Linked DNA regions of Xenopus tropicalis. The protein of the gene in region 4 binds, or shares a complex with, the protein of the main gene of each other region. Links are inferred from orthologs where the notes say so. Each region holds a gene or a part of one and is shown on either strand. Other genes may lie near its edges.

What was found.
Region 1: cacna1c (region 4) and cacnb3 share a complex: the UniProt entries of both Homo sapiens proteins name them as parts of the calcium channel complex. The link is inferred for Xenopus tropicalis from reciprocal best matches to the Homo sapiens genes CACNA1C and CACNB3.
Region 2: cacna1c (region 4) and cacnb2 share a complex: the UniProt entries of both Homo sapiens proteins name them as parts of the calcium channel complex. The link is inferred for Xenopus tropicalis from reciprocal best matches to the Homo sapiens genes CACNA1C and CACNB2.
Region 3: cacna1c (region 4) and cacnb1 share a complex: the UniProt entries of both Homo sapiens proteins name them as parts of the calcium channel complex. The link is inferred for Xenopus tropicalis from reciprocal best matches to the Homo sapiens genes CACNA1C and CACNB1.
Region 5: cacna1c (region 4) and cacng1 share a complex: the UniProt entries of both Homo sapiens proteins name them as parts of the calcium channel complex. The link is inferred for Xenopus tropicalis from reciprocal best matches to the Homo sapiens genes CACNA1C and CACNG1.
Region 6: cacna1c (region 4) and stac3 share a complex: the UniProt entries of both Homo sapiens proteins name them as parts of the calcium channel complex. The link is inferred for Xenopus tropicalis from reciprocal best matches to the Homo sapiens genes CACNA1C and STAC3.

The regions. Positions count from the first base shown.
Region 1 is NC_030678.2:135,903,229-135,908,396, reverse strand, and holds the start of cacnb3 (voltage-dependent L-type calcium channel subunit beta-3), read right to left. Parts: upstream 3,227-5,168; 5' UTR 3,116-3,226; coding exon 3,074-3,115; intron 1-3,073. UniProt on the Homo sapiens protein: Regulatory subunit of the voltage-gated calcium channel that gives rise to L-type calcium currents. Increases CACNA1B peak calcium current and shifts the voltage dependencies of channel activation and inactivation.
Region 2 is NC_030682.2:28,261,700-28,266,735, forward strand, and holds the start of cacnb2 (voltage-dependent L-type calcium channel subunit beta-2), read right to left. Parts: upstream 3,036-5,036; 5' UTR 2,445-3,035; coding exon 2,361-2,444; intron 1-2,360. UniProt on the Homo sapiens protein: Beta subunit of voltage-dependent calcium channels which contributes to the function of the calcium channel by increasing peak calcium current. Plays a role in shifting voltage dependencies of activation and inactivation of the channel.
Region 3 is NC_030686.2:10,416,942-10,421,224, forward strand, and holds the end of cacnb1 (voltage-dependent L-type calcium channel subunit beta-1), read left to right. Parts: intron 1-656; coding exon 657-1,076; 3' UTR 1,077-1,802; intron 1,803-2,131; 3' UTR 2,132-3,209; downstream 3,210-4,283. UniProt on the Homo sapiens protein: Regulatory subunit of L-type calcium channels. Regulates the activity of L-type calcium channels that contain CACNA1A as pore-forming subunit.
Region 4 is NC_030679.2:8,936,226-8,940,647, reverse strand, and holds part of cacna1c (voltage-dependent L-type calcium channel subunit alpha-1C), read left to right. Parts: intron 1-969; coding exon 970-1,130; intron 1,131-2,378; coding exon 2,379-2,604; intron 2,605-2,731; coding exon 2,732-2,939; intron 2,940-3,577; coding exon 3,578-3,698; intron 3,699-3,891; coding exon 3,892-4,006; intron 4,007-4,323; coding exon 4,324-4,422. UniProt on the Homo sapiens protein: Pore-forming, alpha-1C subunit of the voltage-gated calcium channel that gives rise to L-type calcium currents. Mediates influx of calcium ions into the cytoplasm, and thereby triggers calcium release from the sarcoplasm.
Region 5 is NC_030686.2:51,108,148-51,112,890, reverse strand, and holds the end of cacng1 (voltage-dependent calcium channel gamma-1 subunit), read right to left. Parts: intron 3,931-4,743; coding exon 3,856-3,930; intron 3,722-3,855; coding exon 3,584-3,721; intron 2,262-3,583; coding exon 2,035-2,261; 3' UTR 1,204-2,034; downstream 1-1,203. UniProt on the Homo sapiens protein: Regulatory subunit of the voltage-gated calcium channel that gives rise to L-type calcium currents in skeletal muscle. Regulates channel inactivation kinetics.
Region 6 is NC_030678.2:140,076,623-140,081,782, reverse strand, and holds the start of stac3 (SH3 and cysteine-rich domain-containing protein 3), read left to right. Parts: upstream 1-2,139; 5' UTR 2,140-2,247; intron 2,248-5,160. UniProt on the Homo sapiens protein: Required for normal excitation-contraction coupling in skeletal muscle and for normal muscle contraction in response to membrane depolarization. Required for normal Ca(2+) release from the sarcplasmic reticulum, which ultimately leads to muscle contraction.

The DNA.
Region 1 (5,168 bases), on a different chromosome or scaffold from region 4:
GCTGCCTGTGTGTGCCATACTCTACCTGCCCTATGCTGCCTGTGTGTGCCATACTTTGTCTGCCCTATGCTGCCGCCTGTGTGTGCCATACTTTGCCTGTCCTATGCTGCCTGTGTGTGCCATACTCTACCTGCCCTATGCTGCCTGTGTGTGCCATACTCTGCCTGCCCTATGTTGTCTGTGTGTGCCATACTCTGCCTGCCCTGTGTTGGCTGTGTGTGCCATACTTTGCCTGCCCTATGCTGCCTGTGCGAGCCATACTCTGCCTGCCCTATGTTGCCTGTGTGTGCCATACTTTGCCTGCCCTATGCTGCCTGTGTGTGCCATACTCTGCCTGCCCTATGCTGCCTGTGTGTGTCATACTCTGCCTGCTTTATGCTGAAAAAAAATGGTGATTTGCATTTGAATTTTGCAGTTTGTACATTGCACATTGTACTCTTTTTGGAAATGAGCCTTCATATGTATCTGTGCATAACTGTGGCCCCTATCCATACATAAGACATTGCATGAAACATACAGTTTCATGCAATGTCTTATGTATGGATAGGGGCCACAGAATTCCAGCAAGGAATGAATTAGGGGAGGAACAGAATGCTTTACCCATCCCTCCAACCAGGGTTGTCTAAAAAAATAGAGGGAGGGACACCATATGCCTAATTGGCCACGTCCCCAGTATGCTCAAACCCAGCAACAATCTGTTTTCTGCATTTCTGCACCGACTTGCAAACTCATTAACGCATGTTTAGTAGTGACATCATTATGATGTTTTTGTACATTACACATGGCAAGGAGTACAGTCAATGGCATACTTATGGAGGGGAGCAGCCTTTACATTCTAGTGATAGGGCCCACAGTGAATATCTGCTGAAAATGCAAAGTCTCACGTTTTTTGGTGGATATCGGCTACATGTGCCTGCCCCCAGTGTATTCCACTCATTCGGGTGCAGGCATAAGGTAGGCCAATTGTTACATTTTTCAGGCTTGCTGAAAATACACTCCTTGTGGCATTAGTTTTAAGGCCTAAATCTAACAATTCATGTTCTTTCACGTAACCCTTATCATTGCCATTAATTGCCATTAATGTATCTTAAAACATGCACATTTATATCCCGAAACAGTCCTTTTGTGATCACCAAAGATGGCCAGCTATATAGGGTAAACAGCGTAAAATGTACTCATTTAGATGGCAAACAAATAAATCTTTGGCCAATTTAGCACATCAAGTTGCGGCCAAAATCAGGCTTATGTAACACAGAGCACTTGGGCCAACAATAAGACCATATAGAGTCACTATACAGGTAAAGGATCTGTTATCCAGAATGCTCAGGACCTTGGGTGTTCCAGATAAGGTGTCTTTTTCATAATTTGGATCGGCACTAAAAAAAAAATGTAAACATTAAATCAACCCAGTAGGATTGTTTTGCCTCCAATAAGGATTAATTGTATAATACTGTTTTATTATTACAGAGAAAAGGAAATATTTTTTCAAGATATGATTTATTTATCTGGATAATGGATCTCATACCTGTATTTAGTTTAATCCACTAACTATAATTATAAGTTTTTTGAAACCACAACTAAACTCATTTCCACTAAAATTATGAAGGTCTAGTCATTTATTAAAAGATCCAAATTGAAAAAGCACAAACGAATAAAAATGCAGAATGAAAAGGAAAAGAACATGAAAACCATAAAATTTTTGTTTTTGCTGCCATCTGTGAGCAAATGCGCTACAATAGAAAATTGGTTCTGTTTTTACCAGTGTAAAGTACTTTCTGGGTGTGATTTGCACTTATTGCAGAAATGGCTCTGTGTCCAGTCTGCCATTGAAACCACTATCCCTTGTAATGTTGCCATACATGGGCTCATAAAAGGTGCTGACTTGATCCTTTGGCAGCTTATTGAAACATGTATTGGTGACCATGCCAAATAAGAGGATCTTACATTGTATGCCCAGCTTTACTCTAGCAACCACACAAGCTCAGCTTTTAACAACACAGCAGCAGAAATAATTAAACCATCACAAAGAAAAATCAAAATCAAAACTGGATATTTCTGGTGCTATAATAATAAATGATGATGATATTGACTAAGAACAGCATTCCCATGCTGTAAATTCGTTTTAAGATGAATCTCCACTTTAATGGTTCTGGGCAGATAAAAATACTCTAATTTCTAATGTAAATCCACCAAGGACTATTGGGTTAGTGGGGCCCGACTGCTTATTATATGTGTAGCTCAGCAAATCTATGTTATTAGTCACAGAGAAAACAGAACCATGGCATGTAGGTAGGATAATGGAGGCAAGTGTAAAAGCTGATTTCAACACAGCCGTGGATTATGGGTGGTTTGGGAAAGAAGGCAATGATGAGATAGTTAACAGTCAATTAAAATCAGAGACAAGCTGATTAGGAGCCATCTCTTGCAATCCAGCTGAGCCAGAGCCTGTCATGCCTGATCCTTTTCCCTCCGTCTCAGCCTCCCTCCCTGGCTAAATCATGTTCATTTGTTGCTTGTCAGCAGCTGTCAGTTTCTCCATGATCGCTGTCTATTTGTTTTTTCTTCTTATACATTTCCATATAATAAAAGATCATTCCACCTGGCAATAGCTACTGCCTTTTAAGTTTTCCTTTTGCCGAGTGTATGGTGCCTTATTACTATTAATTTTTAACCTTTATTTTTGGATTCATACACTAACGATTCAATACAACAAAGTACAGTGACATTGGTGTTGCTCATAATCCTATAGAAGACAATTTAGTAGTATCCCTATTCACTGCTTCCCCCCCCCACACACACAATATTAATGTACCAGCATGCCCCTTCCCAGTTTTCTTTCTGTTTGTGGTCAATGGTGGTACCTATCCCCTGTGCCTTTTTATCCCCACCTTTACCTTTGTTTACCATTCTTCTGTGTTTCAGTAAAAAGCAAGAGGTTTTATATTAAAAGCACTAAGCACAACATGGCTCATTGCACATCCCCAAAAAGCTGCTCTGTTCTTCAGATAAAATAGCCCTCAATGCAACAACACTAACCTTCCCTTTAAGGCAGTAAAGAAAGGCAAATGGTTACCTCATTCAGAAGAAATGTTGCACTGGAGTCAGAGAAAGACATAGAAGGGGCATAAATAGCCCAAAGCCGCACTCTCAGAAGCTTTTTTTATATACAAAGCAGACTTTGCATTCTCTGTTTATCTGCCTCGCTGTGCTCATAGCTTTTCTCTCCATCAAACACACACAAAACACACAATTTCTCCCCTTCCCTGCCTCTCTTACTCCTCCTTCTGTTTCTCTCATTTCATTTCCACCTCTCAGTGCCTAAGCCTGGCTGAAATAATGGATTCACAGACATTTAAGTGCCGAATAATTGTATTAATGGCTTGTGGCAACACAATGGGGGGGAAAAAAATCTTTGAAAGGCACAAATGGATTTTTTTTTTATTCTGCAAGGAGCAGCCCCCGGCACATAGCTTACCATTCCCTGTCCTTTAAGGCCACTCACAATGAGCAATAATTCCACATCTACAGGCAATGACCTTTATTGGCAGGGCTATGAGCTCATGTTCAGTGATGGATATACAGCAGGAGTAACTACACATTGTGATAGAAGCCTTGATCAATTTCTTTCATTATATTGAATGGAAAAAGATGGAGATATGAGTTCTATAAAGACTATAGGGAGTCATTAACTAAGTGAAAGGCAGGCTGCAAAGTGCAAATAAAGGGTGCAATCTTAAGTTTGCACTTTGCACACTGCCTTCCACATTTTTGAATTGCCACAGGTCTCTGCACCTGTGACAGCCTCAGTGAATACAGTGCTGCCTGTGTTAGGCAGCAGGGCCGCTCCTGCCATATGGCAAGGTGAGAACAGCAAAAAGCCACCTTTGAAACTATTGAGAGTTGAATTTTCATTGTTTAAAATGAAAGTTCAACTCTTCTATTGCGGAATAAGAAATTGTATCCACCAGTGCTTTGCCAAATGGCCACTAATTGTGTTGATATTGGAGGGAAGATGGAACATGGGGTAAGTCCATATTAGGCTAATTAGTTTGCAATTTACCTTTCTAAGTTTAGAAGGGAATAATTCAGAATCAGTTTAGTTTAATCAGTTCAGAAGGAAATCATTCCTCTCTGTGTGCCCCAACTGGCAGCTCCCATTCTTCTAAATCAATTTGTAAAATGTTTCCTACAAGTTGAATGTGATGGACTCTAATCCAGGTTGGTGTTACTATGTATTATGGGGATGCACCGAATCCACTTTTTCGGATTCGGCCAAATCCCCGAATCCTTCGTAAAAGAGTTGGGCAAATACCAAACCGAGTCCGAATCCTAATTAGTATATTCTTATTAGGTTTTGGAAGGGTTTAACCCTTCTACTGCCAGCCATTTTGGTCAAAGCGGAACTTGTATTGCCAGACAGTTTTTGAACATTTTGCACTGTTTCACTTTAGGGGCCTTTCCTCGGGGGGACTTTTAGTTTACCAAGGAAAACAATATATCGTTTTTTTCAGAACAACCTAAGCTTTCAAAATATGGTAGAATTTTTGTGTAATTCCAATTCTGTAACAAGATATAGGCTTCTAAATGTCTAAAAATGCAAAAAAAATCAAATTTTCCATAATATAATCACACATACTAGAAACAAAAATTATTTTATGCACGAATATACAACTGATTTGGAAAGTCCCATGTCTCCTGAACGTGCCAATACCAAATATATATAGTTTTATGGAGATTTCTCACTTGTATAGGTCAAAAACTCCCAGCAGTACACTACCAAATTCCCAAAGCACTGCTCCAAAAAAACTGCATACTTTGGATTTCAAGGCCAAAATTCCACTAACAGAAGGTTTATCCCAGAAAATTGTACATTTTTGGAAAGAACAGATTCTGGGGAATACAGAATAGGCACAACTGTCTGTCTACTCCAAACTATCAAGTCGCAATGCTTTCCTAAAGTTATTGGTTTTTATCAAAATTTGTGATTTTTTTTAAAAATCGCTTCAAAGCTTCCAGTCTATAGTATCTTATCTCCTACAGGTCATAAAGTAACCAAATAAAACACCCTAAATATGAATGCCTGGGGTCCACTGAACAGTTTGATGCCCAATATGTATAGGTTTACCTAAGTATGTGGCATGTAGGGGCCCCAATGTGAACATACCCCA
Region 2 (5,036 bases), on a different chromosome or scaffold from region 4:
AAAGCTGCACTTGCATATAGGAGACCAAAGAGACGTGTTTCACAAAAAATACTATAGGTATGGAACCTGTTATCCAGAATGCTCAGGACCTGGGCTCTTTCGGAAAAGCAATCTTTCCTTTATTTGAATCTCTCTACCATAAGTCTGCTAAAAAATAATTCAAACATTAAAGGAGTTGTTCACCTTTGAGTTAACTTTTAATATGATGTAGAGAGTTCATTCTGAGACAATTTGCAATTGGTCTTCATTTTTATTGGTAGTTTTTTAATTATTTATATTATAATTATATTACTTTTTGTTCCGCAGCTTTCCAGTTTGGAAGTTCAGGAGTTATGTGGTTGCTAGGGTCCAATTTACCTTATTAACCAGGGAGTGGTTTGAGAGGACTGATATATGAATTGTAGAGGGGCTGAATAGAAAGATATGTAATAACAAGTATCAATAACAAATAAAACATAATAAAAACAAATAAATAAAATTGTAGCCTCACAGAGCAATAGTTATATGGCTGCTGGAGGTCAGTGACCCCCGTTTGAAAGCTGGAAAGTGGCAGAAGAAAAAGGCAAATAATTCAAAAACTATAACAGTTAAATAATGAAGACCAATTAAAAAGTTGGTTAGAATTGGCCATTCTATAACATATTAAAAGTGAACTATCCCTTTAAACCCAATAGGATGGTTTTGCCTCCAATAAGGATTAATTATCTTAGTTGGGATTAAGTACAAGGTACTGTTTTATTATTACAGAGAAAAAGGAAATCATTTAACCATTAAATAAACCCAATAGGGCTGTTCTGCCCCCAATAAGGGGTAATTATATCTTAGTTGGGATTAAGTACAAGGTACTGTTTTGTTATTACAGAGAAAAGGGAAATCATTTCTAAAAATTAGAATTATTTGTTTAAAATAGAGTCTATGGGAGATGGCCTTCCCATAATTCAGAACTTTCTGGATAATGTGTTACAGGTCCCATACCTGTATAACTGGGCCACTGACCCATAGTCTGAGCCACCTGCCAGGTGAAAAAAATGATTTCCTTTTTCTCTGTAATAATAAAACAGTACCTGTACTTGATCCCAACTAAGATATAATTACCCCTTATTCTATTTAGAAAATACTGCCCTGCTTCCAAGACTCCAGACCCCCCCCCCCCCCCTCTCCCTCCGTAGAAGACAAGCAGTATGGGAACAAATATTCAAATGTCTGCGATCTTCTTAGGGAAATCTTGCACATGGCTGCTTACTGCTGCTTCCTATAGTAATCCTACTACATATATCCGGCAGCAGTGAATATATCTATTAAACACCTTCCATAGTACAGGTATAGGACCCGTTATCCAGAATGCTTGGGACCAAGGGTATTCCAGATAAGGGGTCTTTCCGTAATTTGGATCCCCATACCATAAGTCTACTAAAAAAATCAATAAAACATTAATTAAACCCAATAGAATTGTTTTGCCCCAATAATGATTATTTATTTCTTAGTTGGGATCAAGTACAAGGTACTGTTTTATTACTACAGAGAAAAAGTAAATCAGTTTTAAAATTCTATATTATTTTATTAAAATGGAGTCTACTGGAGACAGGCTTCCCGTAATTCGGAGCTTTCTGGATAACGGGTTTCCGGGTAAGGGATCCCATACCTGTATTCATAATGCAGGGACTGTACACAATGCAATGTATGGGGCAGCACACACACAAAAGGAGTATGATTATAGTGTGTATAGACATTAATAGGGATGCAGGAGTTCCAACCTGCAGCAACAGTCACCAGTGAAGGCAGCACACACACACATATACATATATATATATATATACACTTTATAATTAATATTATTATTATTTATATAGCGCCATCAATTTACGCAGCACTTTACAGAATAGATGTATACATATGTACCCAGGCACAGCTCCCCTACAGATGCACTATAATCATGAAACAAGTGTTTCTGGGGTTCATTCAGTATGAAACACTGGTCCCAAAAACCTGTGCTTAGTTTTCTAAATTTGTATAAATAATAAACAAACAAAAGGAATTCTGGGAATGAATTCCAAACTCCTAAAAAAAATCCCATTTACATGGGTTTATCCTATAGGCTACAGCTTAATGATTTGTTTATAAATAATAAGAAAGTAAAGAAACTGCTAGGGAAAAATAAAATCCCACATGTAATATGCTGGTTGCACACGCAGAGCTGATACAAGTGCAAAGCATGGCTTTTACACTCCCTTAGGGCTGTCGGTTCCTGTCATTAACTCTTTAGTGTGAGATTCTTCTACTAGAAAGTGGCAGCTCCATCATCTGCTCTCGCCTGGAACCAACCAATCAGCGGTCCCAGGAAGGTTTAGGGGGCACAGTACCTGCACGGCGGGGTTCTCCAGCGAGTCCATATGGATCTCCTGCTGTGATGCCGAGGAAGACTTGGACATGTTATTCTGGACCATTGGAATAAAGGAGAGTCAGCAGGATACTTGGATAAAGTAAAGCGGTCAGGCTGCCACTTGCATTCAGCACTAGCCACAGTAGCCTTTCTACTTAAACAGTTTCCATCACTATCACTGATATTCCAGGTGCTCCTTGAAGGCAGCTCCCCCCTTCCTGCAGCTCCACTCGCTGTGACTCCCTGTGAGTGCTACAGTTCAGCCGCCTCCCCTACAGGCATCACTAAGGAGGAAGGAGTGTCTAGAGCCAGGGCTTCAGCTGGGAGTTCTGAGCTGCTTCTGATCCAGCTGGGTCCCCAGGTTCCCATAATGGGCTTCAGTCATCTAAAGGGTCTGAGCAAGAGCTGCTTCCCTGCCTCTCTCCTCATAACACTGCAGCTCTCTCTCTGGCAGCAGCCGCCTCATACTTCTTACTTTCTTTCTTTTCCTCCACACACTGAGCCACAGCCTGGTCACATGATACTGTGTGTGAGAGATGGTGTGAGAAAATGGTTCTGCTTCAGTGTGGGAAAGTCAGACTGAACTTGTGTGCCTGTGTCTGTCTGTGTGTGTCTGTGTGTGCCTGTGTGTGTCTGTGTGTGCCTGTGTCTGTCTGTGTGTGTCTGTGTGTGTGAGTGTGTGCCTGTGTGTGTGAGTGTGTGTCTGTGTGTGCCTGTGTGTGTCTGTGTGTGCCTGTGTTTGTCTGTGTGTGCCTGTGTGTGTGAGTGTGTGCCTGTGTGTGTGTGTGAGTGTGTGTCTGTGTGTGCCTGTGTTTGTCTGTGTGTGTCTGTGTGTGCCTGTGAGTGTCTGTGTGTGTCTGTGTGTGCCTGTGTCTGTCTGTGTGTGTGTGCCTGTGAGTGTCTGTGTGTGTCTGTGTCTGTGTGTGCCTGTGTCTGTCTGTGTGTGCCTGTGTGTGTGTGCCTGTGTGTGTGAGTGTGTGTCTGTGTGTGCCTGTGTCTGTCTGTGTGTGTCTGTGTGTGCCTGTGTTTGTCTGTGTGTGCCTGTGTGTGTGAGTGTGTGTCTGTGTCTGTCTGTGTGTGTCTGTGTGTACCTGTGTTTGTCTGTGTGTGCCTGTGTGTGAATGTGTGCCTGTGTGTGTGAATGTGTGCCTGTGTGTGAATGTGTGCCTGTGTGTGTGAGTGTGTGCCTGTGTGTGTCTGTGTGTGAATGTGTGCCTGTGTGTGTCTGTGTGTGTGAGTGTGTGTGAGTGTGTGCCTGTGTGTGTCTGTGTGTGAGTGTGTGTCTGTGTGTGCCTGTGTGTGTCTATGTGTGTCTGTGTGTGCCTGTGTGTGTGAATGTGTGCTTGTGTGTGCCTGTGTGTGTGAATGTGTGCCTGTGTGTGTCTATGTGTGTCTGTGTGTGTCTTTGTGTGCCTGTGTGTGTGTCTCTGTGTGTGAATGTGTGCCTGTGTGTGTGTCTGTGTGTGTGAATGTGTGCCTGTGTGTGTGAGTGTGTGCCTCTGTGTGCCTGTGTGTGTGCCTGTGTGTGTCTATGTGTGCCTGTGTGTGTCTGTGTGTGCCTGTGTACCCTTGGTCCCGAGCATTCTGGATAACAGGTCCTATAACTGTATTACCTATCACACAAGGAGGGTACCCACTGGCTTCATAGTCAGTAAATTAGTGGTTTCTGCCCAAAACCCTAAATCTACTTTGCAGGATTCTGTGGTTACCTGACCCAGTGCAGAATTCTAGTGTGCCAGGCTTTCTAAAGAAATCAATTTTCTACAAACCATCTCTCAGACCCAGGACCGGAACTAGGGTAGGCAGAAGAGGCAGCTGCCTAGGGCGCAACGATTTAGGGGCACCAGGCAGACTCTCCTGCCTACCCCTAGTGCTAATTTGTCATTGCCTCCACCGCTTGTCATTAGCGGCGGAGGCAATGACCGACTAACCGGGGAGGTGGGCGGAGTTGGCCGACCGGGTTGCCTAGGGCGCACGGTCGGCTTGGCCCGCCCCTGCTCAGACCTTGAATTAACTGAAAGGTGCTGGGCATTCTATATGTTCACCTGTTACGCTACACTGGCACTCATGGTCCCTAAGAAATGCCCAGGGTAATGATTTCTAAGCATAACACTTAGATGTTCCCAGTTGGGACCTGAACTGGGAGACCTGGGAAATGAAAAGAAAATGGCAGTATGGTGCTCAGCACGTAGTACCCCAGACTGGTGATGTTTATGAACTAGAGGTGCAACAACTCACCCAACCTGTACCCATAGGGGGAACATAATACCCCAGTCTGACCCAACCCAAATCCTCAATGGTCACCCAAATTTCAACCCGAACCCACCCCAACCTGCCAACCTATGAAGTTCATGGGTTTTGGGTCAGCCCACATGTCACTAGTTAGAAATGCTGGAGACTTTTGTTTTGCACCTTTTATTAAAAGACACAGTGGTGCAATATAGCAATGACTAGTATGTTCCAGCTCTGTATGTGAAAAGGCAGAGTAGCGTCCTTGGTACTTCTTGTTACACACTTGGGAAGGCCCATTTATCAACATTCTCATTTTCATGGTTTTAGAGGTTTTTGAAACCACGACTAAACTTATTTCCAATAACACCACAAATGTCTAGTCATTTTTTTAAAGATACGAATTGAAAAAGCACGAATGAATTAA
Region 3 (4,283 bases), on a different chromosome or scaffold from region 4:
ATAATTTCTCCTGCTGTTCCTTGGAATCTCCATAACTTCTCCTAGTGTTCCATGCAGTCTCCATAATTTCTTCAGCTGTTCCATGGAAGCTCCATAACTTCTCCTAGTGTTCCATGCAGTCTCCATAATTTCTTCAGCTGTTCCATGGAAGCTCCATAACTTCTCCTAGTGTTCCATGCAGTCTCCATAATTTCTCCTGCTGTTCCATGGAAGCTCCATAACTTCACCTAGTGTTCCATGCAGTCTCCATCATTTCTAGTACTGTTCCATGGAATCTCCATAACTTCTCCTTAAAGATTGATATTACACCTACAACTCCTGTTCTTTCACCTACCAACTCATCCAATTATTTAACACCTTTTGCATTTTTCTGAGCCTGATTTTTTTACCATATTTTTTCCCAGAATTCAGGTGTATCTGCCTGTTAGTAGATGGTGCACACAAGCTGCAATACACCCTATATTAATTGTTTAATAGCTCTGCTATGTAACTCCATGAAAGTATTATCTTAATGCCTTTTTAATCCTTTCCTGGCTGGGCAGTGTAAGGCAGTGTAGTTGAATATTTGCTTGAAATGTTCTAACCTACTTTTATGTGTGCATGCTTTTAACCCTTCTGCTCCTGTTTCTGCATGCTTTGTCTGTCTTACTAACCAGGGTTCCTACTTGGTACACGGGGAGCTGAGGCCGGATGGAGCAGATCAGATGGGTATGTACGAGGGGCAACTTCGGAGAGGTCAGATGGGCTCTCGCATCCTTTCCCGACATGACACGCTGGAGTCGGAGACACAGGGCAGTCGGGACTCTGCCTACACAGAGCCAGGTGATTCCTGCATGGACATAGAGACTGACCCTTATGAGGATCCAGAGCCTAAGAGCCAAGGAGGAGAGACCAGGAGGCTCCAGCGTCAAGGGTCTTGGGAGGAGCTGGGTCCGGATCAAGAGAACCTACTGCAGAGGAGAAGGAGGGAATCTCCAAGGCCGCAAGGGAAAGGCAGGGAGCAGTACTGGCATGAAGGGGATGGCAGGAACAGGGGGCAGCTGGACAGCTGGGGTAGAGATGTATGTATTCGTTAGGCCTGGGCATAAGGGAACCACACAACTCAAACACACACTTCCCTTAGCATTCGACTGTATTACCCTAGCCTCTTCTGCCTACTGTACAGTTCTGTTTCACTCCTCATTCTCGGCATCTTGCATTACATTTACTCCAGAAGCATTGCCATCTGTAACACCCCCAATGCCCTACTGCCACCACCCGTTCCTTTTTACACCTCAGGGCTCTTACATGTAGCCACTGGACTTTCCTCTGGTTCTCTTTAACCATCACTGCCCTGTGATCTACGGACATTCCTACTGCCCTGTGACTCTCTCTCTCTCTCACTCTTTGCACTATCAATGCTACCCACTGTCTCTTTGCACCAACACTGCCCTTTTGCAATCTAACTGCACTGACACTGCCCTATGACACTCTGCACTGACTTGTATTCATTCCCTGCCCTTTGTGCATTTCCCACTTCTCTGGGATCAACTCACAGCACTAACAGTGCCCAGTGACCCAGTTACTGTACCATGTCTACAGACCTACTGATTGTACGACATTGCCTTCTCATCGCCCACTATCCTTATCCTAGCCCACTTCAAGCCTGGACTGGCAATCTGTGGGGTCTGGCAAATGGGGCTGCTGAAAGATGCTATAGACAGTCACTATTTATTGGGCTGGGGGGGTCTGTTTGTGCCTCTGGGTACTGGGAATGCCAGGGGGGCTGTAAGGTGCCACAGACAGTCACTATTTATTGGGCTGGGGGGGCTGTTTGGGCCTCTGGGTACTGGGAATGCCAGAGGGGCTGCTGTAAGATGCCATAGACAGTCACTATTTATTGGGCTGGGGGGGGGCTGTTTGGGCCTCTGGGTACTGGGAATGCCAGGGGGGCTGTAAGGTGCCACAGACAGTCACTTTTTATTGGGCTGGGGGGGCTGTTTGTGCCTCTGGGTACTGGGAATGCCAGGGGGGCTGTAAGGTGCCATAGACAGTCACTATTTATTGGGCTGGGGGGCTGTTTGGGCCTCTGGGTACTGGGAATGCCAGAGGGGCTGTAAGGTGCCATAGACAGTCACTATTTATTGGGCTGGGGGGGCTGTTTGTGCCTCTGGGTACTGGGAATGCCAGAGGGGCTGTAAGGTGCCATAGACAGTCACTATTTATTGGGCTGGGGGGCTGTTTGGGCCAATGTGTACTTGGAATGCCAGGGCCTATTTTGATTTCCAGTCCAGGCCTGGGCCACTCTCGTAGTCTCACTTCCCCAACACACATTGCACTATCAACCCAGCAATTGCACAACGCTGTCCTCATGAGAACCCAGTGTCTTGTAGTACCCTCTTTGCACTACCCCAGTCTCAGCTCCCTGATTTAGAGAGGAGGAAGAAGCCCTTCCAAGCCAGTAGCAACCCCCACGTTCCAAGCTCCTCCTGCACCCCTTATAGAAACGAGTACCAGGTCTCCGGCAGCCTGACCTGTTGGGGGTTTCGGAGAGACCCCACCACCCCACTCAACAATGTGCCATAAACTGACTTGCTGGAGAGAAGAATGCATACCACGAATGTATTACACACTTTGTGCCAGAAGGGACAGCCTCTCTTAGAGCTGACGAATTACCCACATATCTGGAAACATTGCCCCCCCCCCCCCCGTGACTAGCCGGGCGGAAGGAGTTAACAGATGCCTGATGTATACACGTGCCTGCATATGTTGATCATTTTTTTTGCCTGCGGTTCCTTTCATAATAATGATTCCTGCTTGGTTTGTGTTCCTAATTTGTACCGACCAAAGGGTTTTGGCATTGAGTATTCCCAGCACAAGCTTTTTCCAAAGGGACGAAGATTGTCGTTTTTTCATTGTGAGTTACTTTTTTGGTTTTTTTTTTGGTTTTTTTTTTGGACTTGTTTGTAGTAGAATCTTCAGAGGCCCATTCTCCGCTCATATTGGTTCAGGCCCAGAACTTCCGAGGGATACAGTGAGATATATACATATATAGGTGCCGAAAGTGTATTCATCCCTTCCTCAGATATCTCTTGATCTAGTTTATGTGAATATATATATTTATAAACATGAATTCAATGTATGCATTGTATAAACAAGCCTCTTAAATGATTTATACATACATTTACACGTATTTATACAGTCCTAATTAAAACCTGGTAAGATACTTATATATGTATATATACATGACTGCCTACCGTGGGATAAGCAGGGTGCGATTTGTACGCCGTAATGACTGGATCAATACTGATATTAAAGGATATGTAAACCCTCAAAACAAATCAGTGTGATGCAGCTTAGAGCGCCCTTTTGCAACCTACATTATTATTATTTTTATAGGTTTTAAGATATTAGCAGTTTATGATGGATTTTTAAAGAACAGCGCCACCTGCTGTTGATTTTGGACAACTAGATACAGTTGTTCACCTTTGAGTTAACTTTAAGTATGATATAGAGAGTAATAGCCTATGACAATTGCAATTGGTCTTCATTTTTTATTGTTTGTAGTTTTTTTAATTATTTCAGCTTTTGTTTAGCAGCTCTCCGGTTTGGAGGTTGAGCAGCTACTTGGTTGCTAGGATTCAAATTGCCTTAGTAACCACGGTGTGGTTTGACGGATGTATGAATAGGGGAGGACCTTAATAGAAAAATAAGTAATTAGGGATGCACCCACTTTTTTGGGTTTGGCTGAACCCCCGAACTCACTCTGAAGGATTCAGCTGAATCCCGAACTGAATCCGAATCCTAAATAATTGGGATCGGAAGGGGTTTAAAATCTTTTTCACCTGACTATTTAACCCTTTCCGAATGCTAATCAGCATAGGCCAATTAGGATTCGGTTCGGCCGAAACCGAATCCTTAAAAAAAAGCCAGGACTCGGCCGAATCCCGAACCGAATCCGGGATTCGGTGCATCCCTATAAGTAATATAAAGTAACAATAATGATTAAACTGTAGCTTTACAGAGCAATAGGTTTTGGTTACCAGGGTCAGTGACCCCCATTTGAAAGCTGCAAAGAGTTGGAAGAAGAAGGCAAATAATTCAAAAACTATAAAAAATAAATAATAAAGACCAATTGAAAAGTTGCTTAGAATTGGCCTTTCTAAAATATACTAAAGGTAAACCACCCCTCCAATGACAAAAGGAAAGTCTTTGCTTGAAAAATTAAGTTAGTGAGCAGAAAAGATTCATTTAAAGTTCCTCTGGGCAGTTCTAAGCCGAGCAACATCTTCATTATTATCATT
Region 4 (4,422 bases):
CACCTTTAGCCGAGGAAGAAACTTTGCGACCATTAAGGTCCCCATACACAGCCTATTCTAGCTGCCGATATGGGTCCCTTAGACCGATTTGGCAGCTAATAGGCCCTTCTTTGGGCACTAACGATGGGCCTGTCGGATCGGGGACAGCATCGGCTCGTTGATGCGGTCCCCGGACCGACTTTGCCTATACCCGTCGTTATAATTCGATCGTTTGGCCCCAGGGATCCTCCCAATACATTATTTTTCTTGTTCTTTCCCTGTTTTACAAAACTAATGCTTTAGCTTCCTTAGTTGGACACCAACCAGAAGGTTCCAAAGTTCCGGAACTTATTCTGCATGCTATATGGGTCTTTTTTCGTAAAAAGGGGATTGACAGTGAAGTTGAGGGAAGCAAAGTCCAAAAGCCCCAGGTCGCTAGAATCAAGGATCCCAACATCTGAAAGGCAACCCAAGTGAGCAGTTGTCTACAGGAAGGTTGATAGACGCATGGAACAGTCTTCTTGAAGATCAATCCTTGAACTAGTCTCTGTTAAGGTCCCCATACACGGGCCGATAGAAGCTGCCGATATGGGTCCCTTGGACCGACTCGGTAGCTTATCGGCCCGTGTAGGGGCAGAAACGATCGGACTGGCCGACCGATATTTCAGGCCAGATATCGGTCGGCCAGGTTAGAAAATCCCGTCGGATCGTGGACTGCATCGGCTCGTTGATGCGGTCCCCGAACCGACTGCCCCATTGCCGCTTGCAGAATTCGATCGTTTGGCTCCAGGGCCAAACGATCAAATTCACCGACATGCCTCCCCGATATCGCCACCCGTAGGTGGGGATATCGGGTGAAGATCTGCTCGCTTGGCGACATCGCCAAGCGAGCGGATCTGCCCGTGTATGGCCACCTTTACTCCTCACTCTGATATCATGTGCCAGCTGACATTTTGCTACTCATAACCATGTTTCTCCTGTCTTCCATAGTCGGTACTGGCGGAGATGGAACCGGTTTTGCAGAAGGAAGTGTAGGGCGGCTGTAAAATCAAACGTCTTTTATTGGCTGGTTATATTTCTTGTGTTTCTGAACACTCTGACCATCGCTTCTGAGCACTATAACCAACCCGATTGGCTTACCGAGGTACAAGGTAAGCAAGTGTTTCTATGTAGGCGATACAACTGGGTAATGATCCCATTTGATATATACAGGTATAGGACCCATTATCCAGAATGCTCGGGACCAAGGGTATTCCGGATAAGGGGTTTTTCTGTAATTTGGATCTCCATACCTAAGTCTACTAAAAAATCAATAAATAATGAATTTAACCCAATGGGATTGTTTTTAATCCAATAAGGATTAATTATATCTTAGTTGGGATTAAATACAAGGTTCTGTTTTATTATTACAGAGAAAAGGGAATCATTTAACCATGAAATAAACCCAATAGGGCTGTTCTGCCCCCAATAAGGGGTAATTATATCTTAGTTGGGATCAAGTACAGGTACTGTTTTATTATTACAGAGAAAAGGGAATCATTTAACCATGAAATAAACCCAATAGGGCTGTTCTGCCCCCAATAAGGGGTAATTATATCTTAGTTGGGATCAAGTACAGGTACTGTTTTATTATTACAGAGAAAAGGGAATCATTTAACCATTAAATAAACCCAATAGGGCTGTTCTGCCCCAATAAGGGGTAATTATATCTTAGTTGGGATCAAGTACAGGTACTGTTTTATTATTACAGAGAAAAGGGAATCATTTAACCATTGAATAAACCCAATAGGGCTGTTCTGCCCCCAATAAGGGGTAATTATATCTTAGTTGGGATCAAGTACAGGTACTGTTTTATTATTACAGAGAAAAGGGAATCATTTAACCATTAAATAAACCCAATAGGGCTGTTCTGCCCCAATAAGGGGTAATTATATCTTAGTTGGGATCAAGTACAGGTACTGTTTTATTATTACAGAGAAAAGGGAATCATTTAACCATTAAATAAACCCCAATAGGGCTGTTCTGCCCCAATAAGGGGTAATTATATCTTAGTTGGGATCAAGTACAGGTACTGTTTTATTATTACAGAGAAAAGGGAATCATTTAACCATTAATTAAACCCAATAGGGCTGTTCTGCCCCAATAAGGGGTAATTATATCTTAGTTGGGATCAAGTACAGGTACTGTTTTATTATTACAGAGAAAAGGGAATCATTTAACCATTAAATAAACCCAATAGGGCTGTTCTGCCCCAATAAGGGGTAATTATATCTTAGTTGGGATCAAGTACAGGTACTGTTTTATTATTACAGAGAAAAGGGAATCATTTAATGTCTGTTGTCACAAATTAAATTGACACATAAGGCCTTATCATATTTCATATTCTCCTCTATTCGCAGACACAGCCAACAAAGTGCTCCTGGCTCTCTTCACAGCAGAGATGCTTCTCAAAATGTACAGCCTTGGCCTGCAAGCCTACTTTGTTTCCCTGTTTAATCGGTTTGACTGCTTCATTGTGTGTGGTGGGATCTTGGAGACCATATTAGTCGAGACTAGGATCATGTCACCCTTGGGAATCTCCGTGCTGCGCTGTGTGCGCCTTCTCAGGATATTCAAGATTACCAGGTATCCGACTAACTATTTTCTGTAGGTATGCATACATGATAGCTGTCGGACTCGGCAGAGCAGTATGAGTGCCCTTCTGATAATCTCGCTGCTTATATTCACAAATAATTCAGTTCTGGTTTTGCAGGTACTGGAACTCTCTGAGTAATCTTGTGGCCTCGCTGCTGAATTCCGTGCGCTCCATCGCTTCCCTTCTCCTCCTTCTCTTCCTCTTCATCATCATCTTTTCCCTTCTGGGGATGCAACTCTTTGGCGGCAAATTTAACTTTGACGAGATGCTGACCCGCAGGAGCACGTTCGATAACTTCCCACAGGCTTTGCTTACTGTCTTTCAGGTGCAGGGATAACATTTTTTTTTATTAATGTCAAGGAAACATTATTGCGTGTGGGATAAGGGGGTTCAGATTAAAGGGCCACCATACCTTGATTTTATAAATGGCTTTGCCGTTGCCTCCCAGGCTTGCTGACTGGATCCTTTTTACCTCCTATAGCAGCGGTTCTCAACCTGTTGGTTGGGACCCCTTTGGGGGTTGCCGAAGACCATCGGAAAACACATATTTTATGGTTGGGGGTCACTACAACATGAGGAACCGTCTTAAAGGGTCACAGCATTAGGAAGGTTGAGAACCACTGTCCTATAGGCTTTCCATTGTGTTGTACATTAAGCCAGAACACAACATGGTCTATCAACCCAAGGAGTTTGGTGTGACAGCACTGCAGGTTCCAGTTTATTACCCACCCCTACTAAATAAAATATATAAAAAGCCCAGTAAATTATATGAAGGCCCAGGCCTATGGTGGCAAGAATTTAGGGGTGGCATATCACCCTGTCCTTAGTGCAGCTCCATTCTGTAGAGTGCAGTAAAGGGCTTGTCCCGGCCTATGGTTGTGTTAATATGTTACGTGCATTATACGTTCTAGACTAGCAGTGTTTTATTCAGTTATACTGGAATGTGTTATTTTTTCTGCCTAGATCCTTACCGGAGAGGACTGGAACTCAGTAATGTATGATGGAATCATGGCATATGGGGGACCCTCCTTTCCTGGGATGCTTGTGTGCATTTATTTCATCATACTCTTCATCTGTGGAAATTGTATCCTTTGTCTTTGCACTCTTGCCCCGAGATTCTTCCTTGCGATAGTATTGTGTACACCTGTGTAAAACATGAGCCTTATCAGTTGGGCTTGAGTTGGAAACTTGTTCTTCCTGATCTCTCAATAGGATTTCTATTGGTTCCAGATGAACAGTAGGTCATAGGTGTTGTAGACCTTATCTTCTGCAAACAGATATACTTCTGAATGTCTTCTTGGCCATTGCTGTGGACAACTTGGCCGATGCTGAGAGTCTTACCTCTGCTCAGAAAGAGGAAGAAGAAGAGAAGGAGAGGAAGAAACTAGCAAGGTCTGATTGCGTTAAAAATGAATATTCCGTTGCTTAGTGCCATATATTAAATCTAGAACATGATGTGCTCTCACACGAATCAACCCCTAATTCTTATAGTATTAGTACAAAAATATATTTATACTAATAGATGTAAGAAGCTTATGACTTTGCTTTAAACGAGCTATACATGGACCTCATAGTGGCAGCAAATCAGAATCTGTGCAACTTATTCCATTCTCAGGATTGGACATTCTTCTACAAGAAGTAGTCGATTCTAGTTGGATGTCTCCTGACATAGAAACTAAAGGAGCATTCTATTTTCTTCTTTTCCTTAGAACTGCTAGCCCTGAGAAGAAACAGGAGAATGAGTCCCTAGGGAAGTCTCCAGTGCCAGCCGTGGAGGAGAACAAAGAGAAGATAGAGTTGAAGGCCAT
Region 5 (4,743 bases), on a different chromosome or scaffold from region 4:
ACTGCTGGTGCCCCCCTGGGGCAATACTCTGGTTGTATAACTCCTGGTGCCCCATGTGGGGCAATACTCTGATTGTATAACTGCTGGTGCCCCCCTGGGGCAATACTCTGGTTGTATAACTCCTGGTGCCCCCCTGGGGCAATGCTCTGGTTGTATAACTGCTGGTGCCCCCCTGGGGCAATACTCTGGTTGTATAACTCCTGGTGCCCCATGTGGGGCAATACTCTGATTGTATAACTCCTGGTGCCCCATGTGGGGCAATACTCTGATTGTATAACTGCTGGTGCCCCTTCAGGGGTAATGTATTTATAGTCCTTCTGGTAACCGCTGGTAGCAATAGTGTAACTATAACCGCTGGCGCCCCCTGTAGGTGTATTACTGTAATTGTAGAACCCCCGGTGCCCCCTGTAGGTGTATTACTGTAATTGTAGAACCCCCGTGCCCCCTGTAGGTGTATTACTGTAATTGTAGAACCCCCGGTGCCCCCTGTAGGTGTATTACTGTAATTGTAGAACCCCCGGTGCCCCCTGTAGGTGTATTACTGTAATTGTAGAACCCCCGTGCCCCCTGTAGGTGTATTACTGTAATTGTAGAACCCCCGGTGCCCCCTGTAGGTGTATTACTGTAATTGTAGAACCCCCGGTGCCCCCTGTAGGTGTATTACTGTAATTGTAGAACCCCCGGTGCCCCCTGTAGGTGTATTACTGTAATTGTAGAACCCCCGGTGCCCCCTGTAGGTGTATTACTGTAATTGTAGAACCCCCGGTGCCCCCTGTAGGTGTATTACTGTAATTGTAGAACCCCCGGTGCCCCCTGTAGGTGTATTACTGTAATTGTAGAACCCCCGGTGCCCCCTGTAGGTGTATTACTGTAATTGTAGAACCCCCGGTGCCCCCTGTAGGTGTATTACTGTAATTGTAGAACCCCCGGTGCCCCCTGTAGGTGTATTTTTATGATACAGTTGGTGTACCTGGTGCTGTCATTGCAGTCACATATGGAGAAGGTATGTCGCTTGGCCAATCAGAGATGCCATTCAGCCCCCACCCCAGAGATGATTTCCAGGAGGACTGGGCACTATGGCAGCTCCTGGCACCCTTGGGCACTATGGCAGCTCCTGGCACCCTTGGGCACTATGGCAGCTCCTGGCACCCTTGGGCACTATGGCAGCTCCCTTTCCATAGAAATAGGCAAATGCACAGATGATAAAGTAAAACTTGGTTCTATTTACCCTTGAAATTTAAAGACATTCAGTGATTAGATAAACACCACAAAGGCCAAAGTCACACATTATTTCTCATATCTTCCCACCCCCTGAGCCCCCCGACTCTGCAGCTGTAACGACGCCCTGTGAGTCCCTCAGTCTCCCTATGGGTCGGTGTCTATTCCTGTAATGGGGGGGGGGGCACAGGCCGGGGGACGCTATTTAAAGCCAGTGAAATAATCCAGTAAATAAAGGTGCTGGGGGCAGGGAGAGAATCCCAGCTGCTGTAGGGGGGCTGCCCCCAAATCCCCCTCCCACTAGTTACCCAGAGGGGTTCCATACAGGGGGTGGGGTCCCCCAAATCCCCCTCCCACTAGTTACCCAGAGGGGTTCCATACAGGGGGTGGGGTCCCCCAAATCCCCCTCCCACTAGTTACCCAGAGGGGTTCCATACAGGGGGTGGGGTCCCCCAAATCCCCCTCCCACTAGTTACCCAGAGGGGTTCCATACAGGGGGTGTGGTCCCCCAAATCCCCCTCCCACTAGTTACCCAGAGGGGTTCCATACAGGGGGTGGGGGCCCCCAAATCCCCCTCCCACTAGTTACACACCCAGAGGGGTTCCATACAGGGGGTGGGGGCCCAAAATGAATTTGCTGTGGGGCCCAGTAATTCCTGGTTACGCCATTGGCCAAGCCTTGGGGAGGAGCTTACACTATACAGGAAAGAAGCGAGATATTGGGGTGCGCCACCCCCTCTGCCCTCACTCGCCCATTGAGTTCAGTCAGTGAATGTCGGGGGTCCATCTCCGGTCCGTGACCCCCCGGAATCTCCCCTCACATGTCGGGCTCCGCGTCCATACAGGTCTCCCAGGGGTTCCTGGGCATGCGCGGCAGGGAGATGAGCACCAGGGCGACGCCGCACACGAACAGCAGCACGAAGGCGGCGCAGGCGCAGGCGAAGGACCACGAATAATAATACTCGATCCAGACCGTCTCCTTACTGTCTATCATCCGGTGCACCGACTGTCTGATCACTTCCGCCGAGATAATCATGCACAGCCCTGCAACGGCAAGCCGGGGGTTAATCTAATGTTTCTTAGATGGGAATTCAGCTGTTTAACTGGATGTATTGCATTGGCTGAGCACAAACCCCTCCCCCTGTGAGCTGCCATCATAGAGTTCTAGTCCCACCCACTGCTTGGGTCACAGACTCCCTGCCCCTCCCCCTATAAACTGTCATCAGAGGGCTCTAGTCCCACCCACTGCTTGTGTCACAGACTCCCTGCCCCTCCCCCTATAAACTGCCATCAGAGGGCGCTAGTCCCACCCACTGCTTGGGTCACAGACTCCCTGCCCCTCCCCCTATAAACTGTCATCAGAGGGCTCTAGTCCCACCCACTGCTTGGGTCACAGACTCCCTGCCCCTCCCCCTATAAACTGCCATCAGAGGGCTCTAGTCCCACCCACTGCTTGAGTCACAGACTCCCTGCCCCTCCCCCTATAAACTGCCATCAGAGGGCGCTAGTCCCACCCACTGCTTGTGTCACAGACTCCCTGCCCCTCCCCCTATAAACTGCCATCAGAGGGCTCTAGTCCCACCCACTGCTTGGGTCACAGACTCCCTGCCCCTCCCCCTATAAACTGTCATCAGAGGGCTCTAGTCCCACCCACTGCTTGGGTCACAGACTCCCTGCCCCTCCCCCTATAAACTGTCATCAGAGGGCTCTAGTCCCACCCACTGCTTGGGTCACAGACTCCCTGCCCCTCCCCCTATAAACTGTCATCAGAGGGCTCTAGTCCCACCCACTGCTTGGGTCACAGACTCCCTGCCCCTCCCCCTATAAACTGTCATCAGAGGGCTCTAGTCCCACCCACTGCTTGGGTCACAGACTCCCTGCCCCTCCCCCTATAAACTGCCATCAGAGGGCTCTAGTCCCACCCACTGCTTGTGTCACAGACTCCCTGCCCCTCCCCCTATAAACTGTCATCAGAGGGCTCTAGTCCCACCCACTGCTTGGGTCACAGACTCCCTGCCCCTCCCCCTATAAACTGCCATCAGAGGGCGCTAGTCCCACCCACTGCTTGTGTCACAGACTCCCTGCCCCTCCCCCTATAAACTGCCATCAGAGGGCGCTAGTCCCACCCACTGCTTGAGTCACAGACTCCCTGCCCCTCCCCCTTATAAGCTGCCATCAGAGGGCTCTAGTCCCACCCACTGCTTGAGTCACAGACTCCCTGCCCCTCCCCCTGTAGGCTGCTATGAGTGGGTGCCCTAGCCCCCTTGCCTTGTTGGCTTACAATGTTGGCGGATTTGTTGCCTCCCTGATTTGCCCCTGAGTGTGGCAGAGACATGGGGGTTTCTAGGGGCACTGGGGGTACAAACCTGCAAAGATGAAGAAGAGGCCGGCGGGTTTGAGCAGGTAGTCGAGCTTCTCCTTGAAGGACAGCAGGGTGCACACTGTGCCCATAGTCATGAACCCCACTCCGATGATGGCGATGGCGGCTGCCGAGATGCTGTACTCTGGGGGGGGGCAAGATCAGGGGGTGAGAGGGCAGAGTGGAGGCTTCTGGGACATACACAACGAGTAACGAGGGTTGGGGGGGCAGGGACATTGGGGAGACAAACGCACAGTGATGTCACAATGGGCCCCTCACCTTTCTGCGTCGTCACCTCGAAAATATCCGCGTTCTCCCCTGAAGTGAAATGCTTGAAGTAGGTGCAGCTGTGCTCTGGGGGGGCAACACAACGGGGGTCAGATCACTCTGCGCGGCCATCTGGTTGCTAAGGTAACTGTGCTTAGCAACCAGGTACCAGTTTGGCAGTCGGACTGAACTTGATGCAAGTGATTATTTTATCATCAGGTCTTTGCCTTGTAGCTATCGACAGCCAATAGGAACAACTGCTGTTATCTCTGGGGTTCTGGGGATTCCCTGCACCCTGATTGTTAGAGATTTGGCTCCACCCCCCTGACCTTATTCCCATGGGATTCCCTGCACCGATTATTAGAGATTTGGCTCCACCCCCCTGACCATATTCCCTTGGCCATGTGGCACTCACATGGTTAAACTGCTCCCACGTTCAGCTTTGTATCTGTCTATCGGTATTGATCCCAATTGGTTATTGATTGTGCTGTAGGGTGAGTGTGAGAGTGGGGTGACTCTGTGGGGGGCAATTCCTTATTGTATGTGGGTCCCTGTGTAAGGGGGTCTTTCTTGGCAGGGGATTGGCTGCCATGTTACTTTACTTGGCGTTCTTGCCCTACTGTCTCCCTCTTGCCCTACTGTCTCCCTCTTGCCCTACTGTCTCCCTCTTGCCCTACTGTCTCCCTCTTGCCCTACTGTCTCCATCTTGCCCTACTGTCCCCATCTTGCCCTACTGTCTCCATCTTGTCCTACTGTCTCCCTCTTGCCCTACTGTCCCCATCTTGCCCTACTGTCTCCATCTTGCCCTACTGTCTCCATCTTGTCCTACTGTCCCCATCTTGTCCTACTGTCTCCATCTTGCCCTACTGTCCCCATCTTGTCCTACTGTCTCCATCTTGT
Region 6 (5,160 bases), on a different chromosome or scaffold from region 4:
TTCATTACGAAAAAACTCATAGGGACGCTTTCGGCCCGTTCGGGGATTAGTAAATCTGCCCCATAGAGACAATTATCAGTAAATGATCAGCATTGTCTATTTTAGTAGCCGTGACAAGTAGCTGCTACTAGTAGCTCCGTGTGTCTTCGCCCTAAGCCTGTGTGTGAATAAACGGGTGTATAGCCAACAATTATTAAATGGGTCGCCATGAAGCCCTGACTTGCAGTACCACTTCTCACCGTTGCAGAGATCTAATGTTTTTTATAGACCGAAACATAAATGTGCTGCTGACTTGCTGTTAACTGAAATTGTTAAATGAAATGCAAAAGCTATTTCTTAATTAGCAGAGAGACCCTTAATGTCTGTTTTAGAGAAAAAGGGTAATACTTCCCCTTAATAGTTTCATGGTGTGGGAACATCCAAGGCCAGGGTAAGTGTAAGGGTAGAGCAGAGACAGTGAAGATACAAAGTTTCAGTACATACCTGCAGCCCTCTAACTGTTACTGACTTGTAGCTTCAGCAGGTCAAACCCATGTTGTGTGGTTTGTTTGGCTTCCCCATTATCTGCTCTTTGTATGAAAGATGCTCTGCCATATATAATAGGGTGACAACCCTGTGCCTCCTCTAAACGGGTGACATTTAATTGTTTTTATTATCACTGGTTGATCATTTGTACCACTATTCCATCTGCTGATCAAGATGTTGCCCTGCGCATGGTGCATCAGCAGACGAGCAAACTGGTGCTGGAAACACATATAAACTTATAGCTGCTCCATTCTAGAAAGTTAACCCCCCCCCGTAACAAATCTAGCTGCACATTAGCACTAAACGGAAGAGCGTCACAATAAAATGTACACTTTTTTATGCTATGAGAATAATTCTCCAGATTTTGAACAGAATAAAAAAAAAAATAGAATGTTGTGTTCTTTGGTCATCAAGGAGACTCATTGGAGACTCCCCTGCCCCCCTGAATTGGCTTCTGTGCCCACTCCCATATGAATCCCCACACCTGCCTGTTCTCTTACCTGAAAGCTGACGCGGAGCAGAGATTTATATGCAGTACTGGAGGAAGCAACCCCTGTGGTCCGGGCCCCCCTGTCCCCTGCCCCCCCCCCCATCCTGGTGACTGTGGGGTCTGCTTCCTCCATTCTTACGCCACTGTTAACTTTTAGTATGATGTAGAGAGTGACATGCTGAGACAATCTGCAGTTGGTCTTCATTTTTTATTATTGGTGGTTTCAATGCATTTAGCTTTTTGTTTAGCAGCTATTCAGTTTGGAATTTTAGCAGCTATCTGGTTGCTAAGTTTCAAATTACCCTAGCAACCAGGCAGTAGTTTGAGACTGGAATATGAATAGTAGAGTGGATGAATAGAAAGATAAGTAACCCCCGTTTGAAAGCTGCACAAAATGATACAAAAAATATAAAAAGACCATTGAAAAGTTGCTAAAAATTGGCCATCCCATGAAATTAATTTAAAGGTGAAACACATTTCCTGAAATTATTATAACAGAATGTTTAGAGCCAGTGTTGGAATGTTTTGAGTCTCTTGAATTCTATCCATGGAATGCAGTGAATGTGTTGGGTAAAATATCTTCCAATGCTTAGCATACTGACTGCCATTTTTATATTACACAAAGCATATAAACTGGTGATTCCCCAACACATAACCTTTAGTATTTCACAGAGCAATTTAATCTAAGCAATCTAAGCTTTATAGATGTTTTTCTTTCTTCTGAATAATTTACCTTTCTGTTTGCCTCCCTTCTGGAATTCCTTCTGCCAAACCACAAACAGGCCTGAAGCCTTTTCCTGGCATTTCATATTCATTAGTGGGAAAGAGGGAAAAAAAAGCACATTTAAAACCAAAACATATTATCATTTCCAAGTTGAATTCCAGTAAAAATAGGAATTGTTTTGTGTGTGTGACAAACTCCCAGGAATGAAATGACTCCTGCGCTTTCCTCAGTTTCCCACCTCTCAGCCACCTCTCCAATTCCTGGTTGGGCCTACTGCCTCCGTGCTATGGCTGCTTGTAAAGTTTCCGATTTCTCTGTGTCAGCCTTTGCCTCTCAGCTGTCCTGTCACCTCCACACTTGTCACTCCCTCTCCTCTGAGGAGCAGTTTGTTTCATTATCTGAGAGGAGTGAACGAAGGATCTCTGTGCCCCTCACCTAAGGTCTGAAAGTGCCTTCTGAAGACAAAATGTTCCAGTAGATCCCCATCTGAGAACTACAGGTGTGTAAGGTTTGTCTAGGCATTGTACGCCATTTCTGTTTGCCCTTTAATGCTTCTTTGTATTTCCTTTTAAATGATCTTTATGCCACATAAAACAAAATATCATGTACCTGCTTGGATTTCATTTTAGTTATCTTGTAAAGAAAATTCCACATACACAATGTTTCGGCCACATCAAGGTTGTTAATAAATATATTGATCTTTATCATTATTTATAGCAATGATATATTTTTGTGAGTTTAAATACAGTGGAACTGTAGTGTTTCAGCTGAGGCAGAAGCGCAGGGATTCTGATAGTTGTAGTTCAGCAAGAATTATGGGGGAAAGGGGGCAAGATGCCTATTCCTGAAATAGGCACATTACCTTGGTTTCATTTGCTTTTCTGACTATAGCAAGTCACTAACAAATGCTTAACACAAATTGTAAGCTCTTTAGACAAAGATTTATTGCTTTACAGGGGATGCAATCATTATAGTGTTTGTTCTAATACTTTAGATCACTGTATAGGGATTTCTTGTGACAGTGATTTATTTCAGTTTTAGAAATATTTTATTTATCTTTATGTTTGCATTTAATGTCTATATCCTGTTACTTCTGCCTTATGGCTGAGATTCTAGCTATCCTTATAAAATAACATTTGGTTATAAGAGTCATGGAGCACCGGTCCGGAACCCACTGTTTCCATCACTGCAGCCTTTACAGTCCTTAAATGGATACACGGAATGCTGGAAAACTAAGCTTAGGCAGCGCAAACCAAAACACTGTTGCAATTTGATTTTATATCATAAGTAAAAGAAAATCGAACAGATCTTGTTTCTTTAAGTCTTGCCTAGTAGTTAAAACATTTTTCAAACATTCTACTGCTTATTCATTCCCCCCGACATTATAATCTGATAATTTTTTTCATGCTGTGAAACAAGTTGGCTGCCATACATTTTAGAGAACCAATAAAATAGCTTATAGGCATATCTTATCTAATCGACTCATTTTCAAAACCCACTGTGATCACCCATCTTTCCTCCCAGTGTGTAAGCAATAAACTTTAGTGGGTGTGTCAGTGGCACTTTGCCAAACATCCGCTTACATTCCTGCCAATGCTGATTAAAAATGGGGATATTTGTGGCCATGTTTCCACTCCACAAGACCACACCCAAACCTGCCCATAACTCCACCCACTTTTCAGTAAGCCTGCGACCATTTCATAACCCAAAACATGAGACTGCCCTAGCTAAAATGGAATGGTTAGTGGCCAAAAAAATTGTCTTCTCTTGTCTTTAACTTTTATTTATTCTAGGATAATTCCATACTAGATATGTTAGGGGATCTAATGTAATTTAATCTCTTTACCTCTTGTTTGGTCCTAATAGCTGCCTCCTGGGGCTGTAAGGTAGTGTGAAACACACACATCACTCAGGTGCTGCCAAAGACTCCCCAATAAGAAACACCAGTATGTTCTTCCATTCAGTAGCAGCCTTTATACATGTACAGTATGTGTGTGAGTATGAGTGCCAGCATCTACATCTACTTCCATCCAAATATTTTGGAAGGTGCTTTCTCTTTACAACAAGATGCAAACTGCCTGTGTCACATTCACTGTTTCTGTCCTGTCTTTGGACACATAAGCTGTTAATTTTAACCCCTCGCATCTACAAAAAGTATACAGTCAGCTGCCAAGCCTTTAGAATTTGTGTGGGATGATGTCCCATCAGAGCGCTCAGACAGAGTACAGCTGTTATCAGCCATCAAACATGGCTTTTAATATCTCCAGGGCTTCAGTTACACTGCTTACGAAAATAGTTTGTCCACAAAACCCCAAGCACTGTCTGTGGTTAATATACCGAAAGCTTCAGGCGTCTATGGTTTTCTGCTTGCTGTATTTGCGTAATTATACTGCATGCATTCAAACAATGGTATTTAAACAATGTGTAGGTGGCATATAGGAATACAGCTGGTAGGGAGTATGGCGCCAACAGCTCTAGAACACCCTTGTGATGAAAGAATTTTCATAGTTCCAGAACGTTCAGTGAACTAGTGGTTCTCTGTACAAAATACGATGATGAAAGAATTTTCATAGTTCCAGAACATTCTGTGAACTAGCGGTTCCCTGTACAAAATATGAGATGAAAGAATTTTCATAGTTCCAGAACATTCTGTGAACTAGCGGTTCCCTGTACAAAATATGAGATGAAAGAATTTTCATAGTTCCAAAACATTCAGTGAACTAGCAGTTTTCGGTACGAAATACAATGTTCTGTTGCTTCATTAGATTACACATGGCACCCATAGGGATCCTCAAAGAAAGCATTTACTGACTGGATCAGATGTCGGATACAGGTATGAGATCTGTTATCTGGAAACCATTTATTTAGAAAGCTCCAAATAATGGAAGGGGACATCTCCCATAGACTCAATTTTACCCATATAATTTTATTTTTTTTTCTCTGTAATTATGAAACAGTGCCTTGTACTTGATGGTAGCTAAGCTGTGAATCCATATTGGTGGTAAAACCATCCATTGGGTTTGTTTAACGGTTTAATTATTTTTTTTTTTGTGGACTTAAAGTATGAAGATCCAAATTATAGATCCATATAGATTGTAAGCTCTACGGGGCAGGGACCTCCTTCATCTTGTGTTTCTGACTCTTATTCCAACTGCACCTTGTATTTATTGTTGTACTTTGTATTTATCCATTATCTTTTGTATTTATCCATTATCTTTAACCCCCTGTCTGTATTAATGAATTCTACTGTACAGCGCTGCGTACATAAGTAGCGCTTTATAAATAAAGATATACATACATACATTATGGAAAGAACCCTGAGCCTTCTGGAAAACAGGTCCCATACCTTGAACACACAGATATAATGCTAGTTAGCACAATCCTGTATTTTAGCCTCATGTATTTGGATTACTCTGTAGGC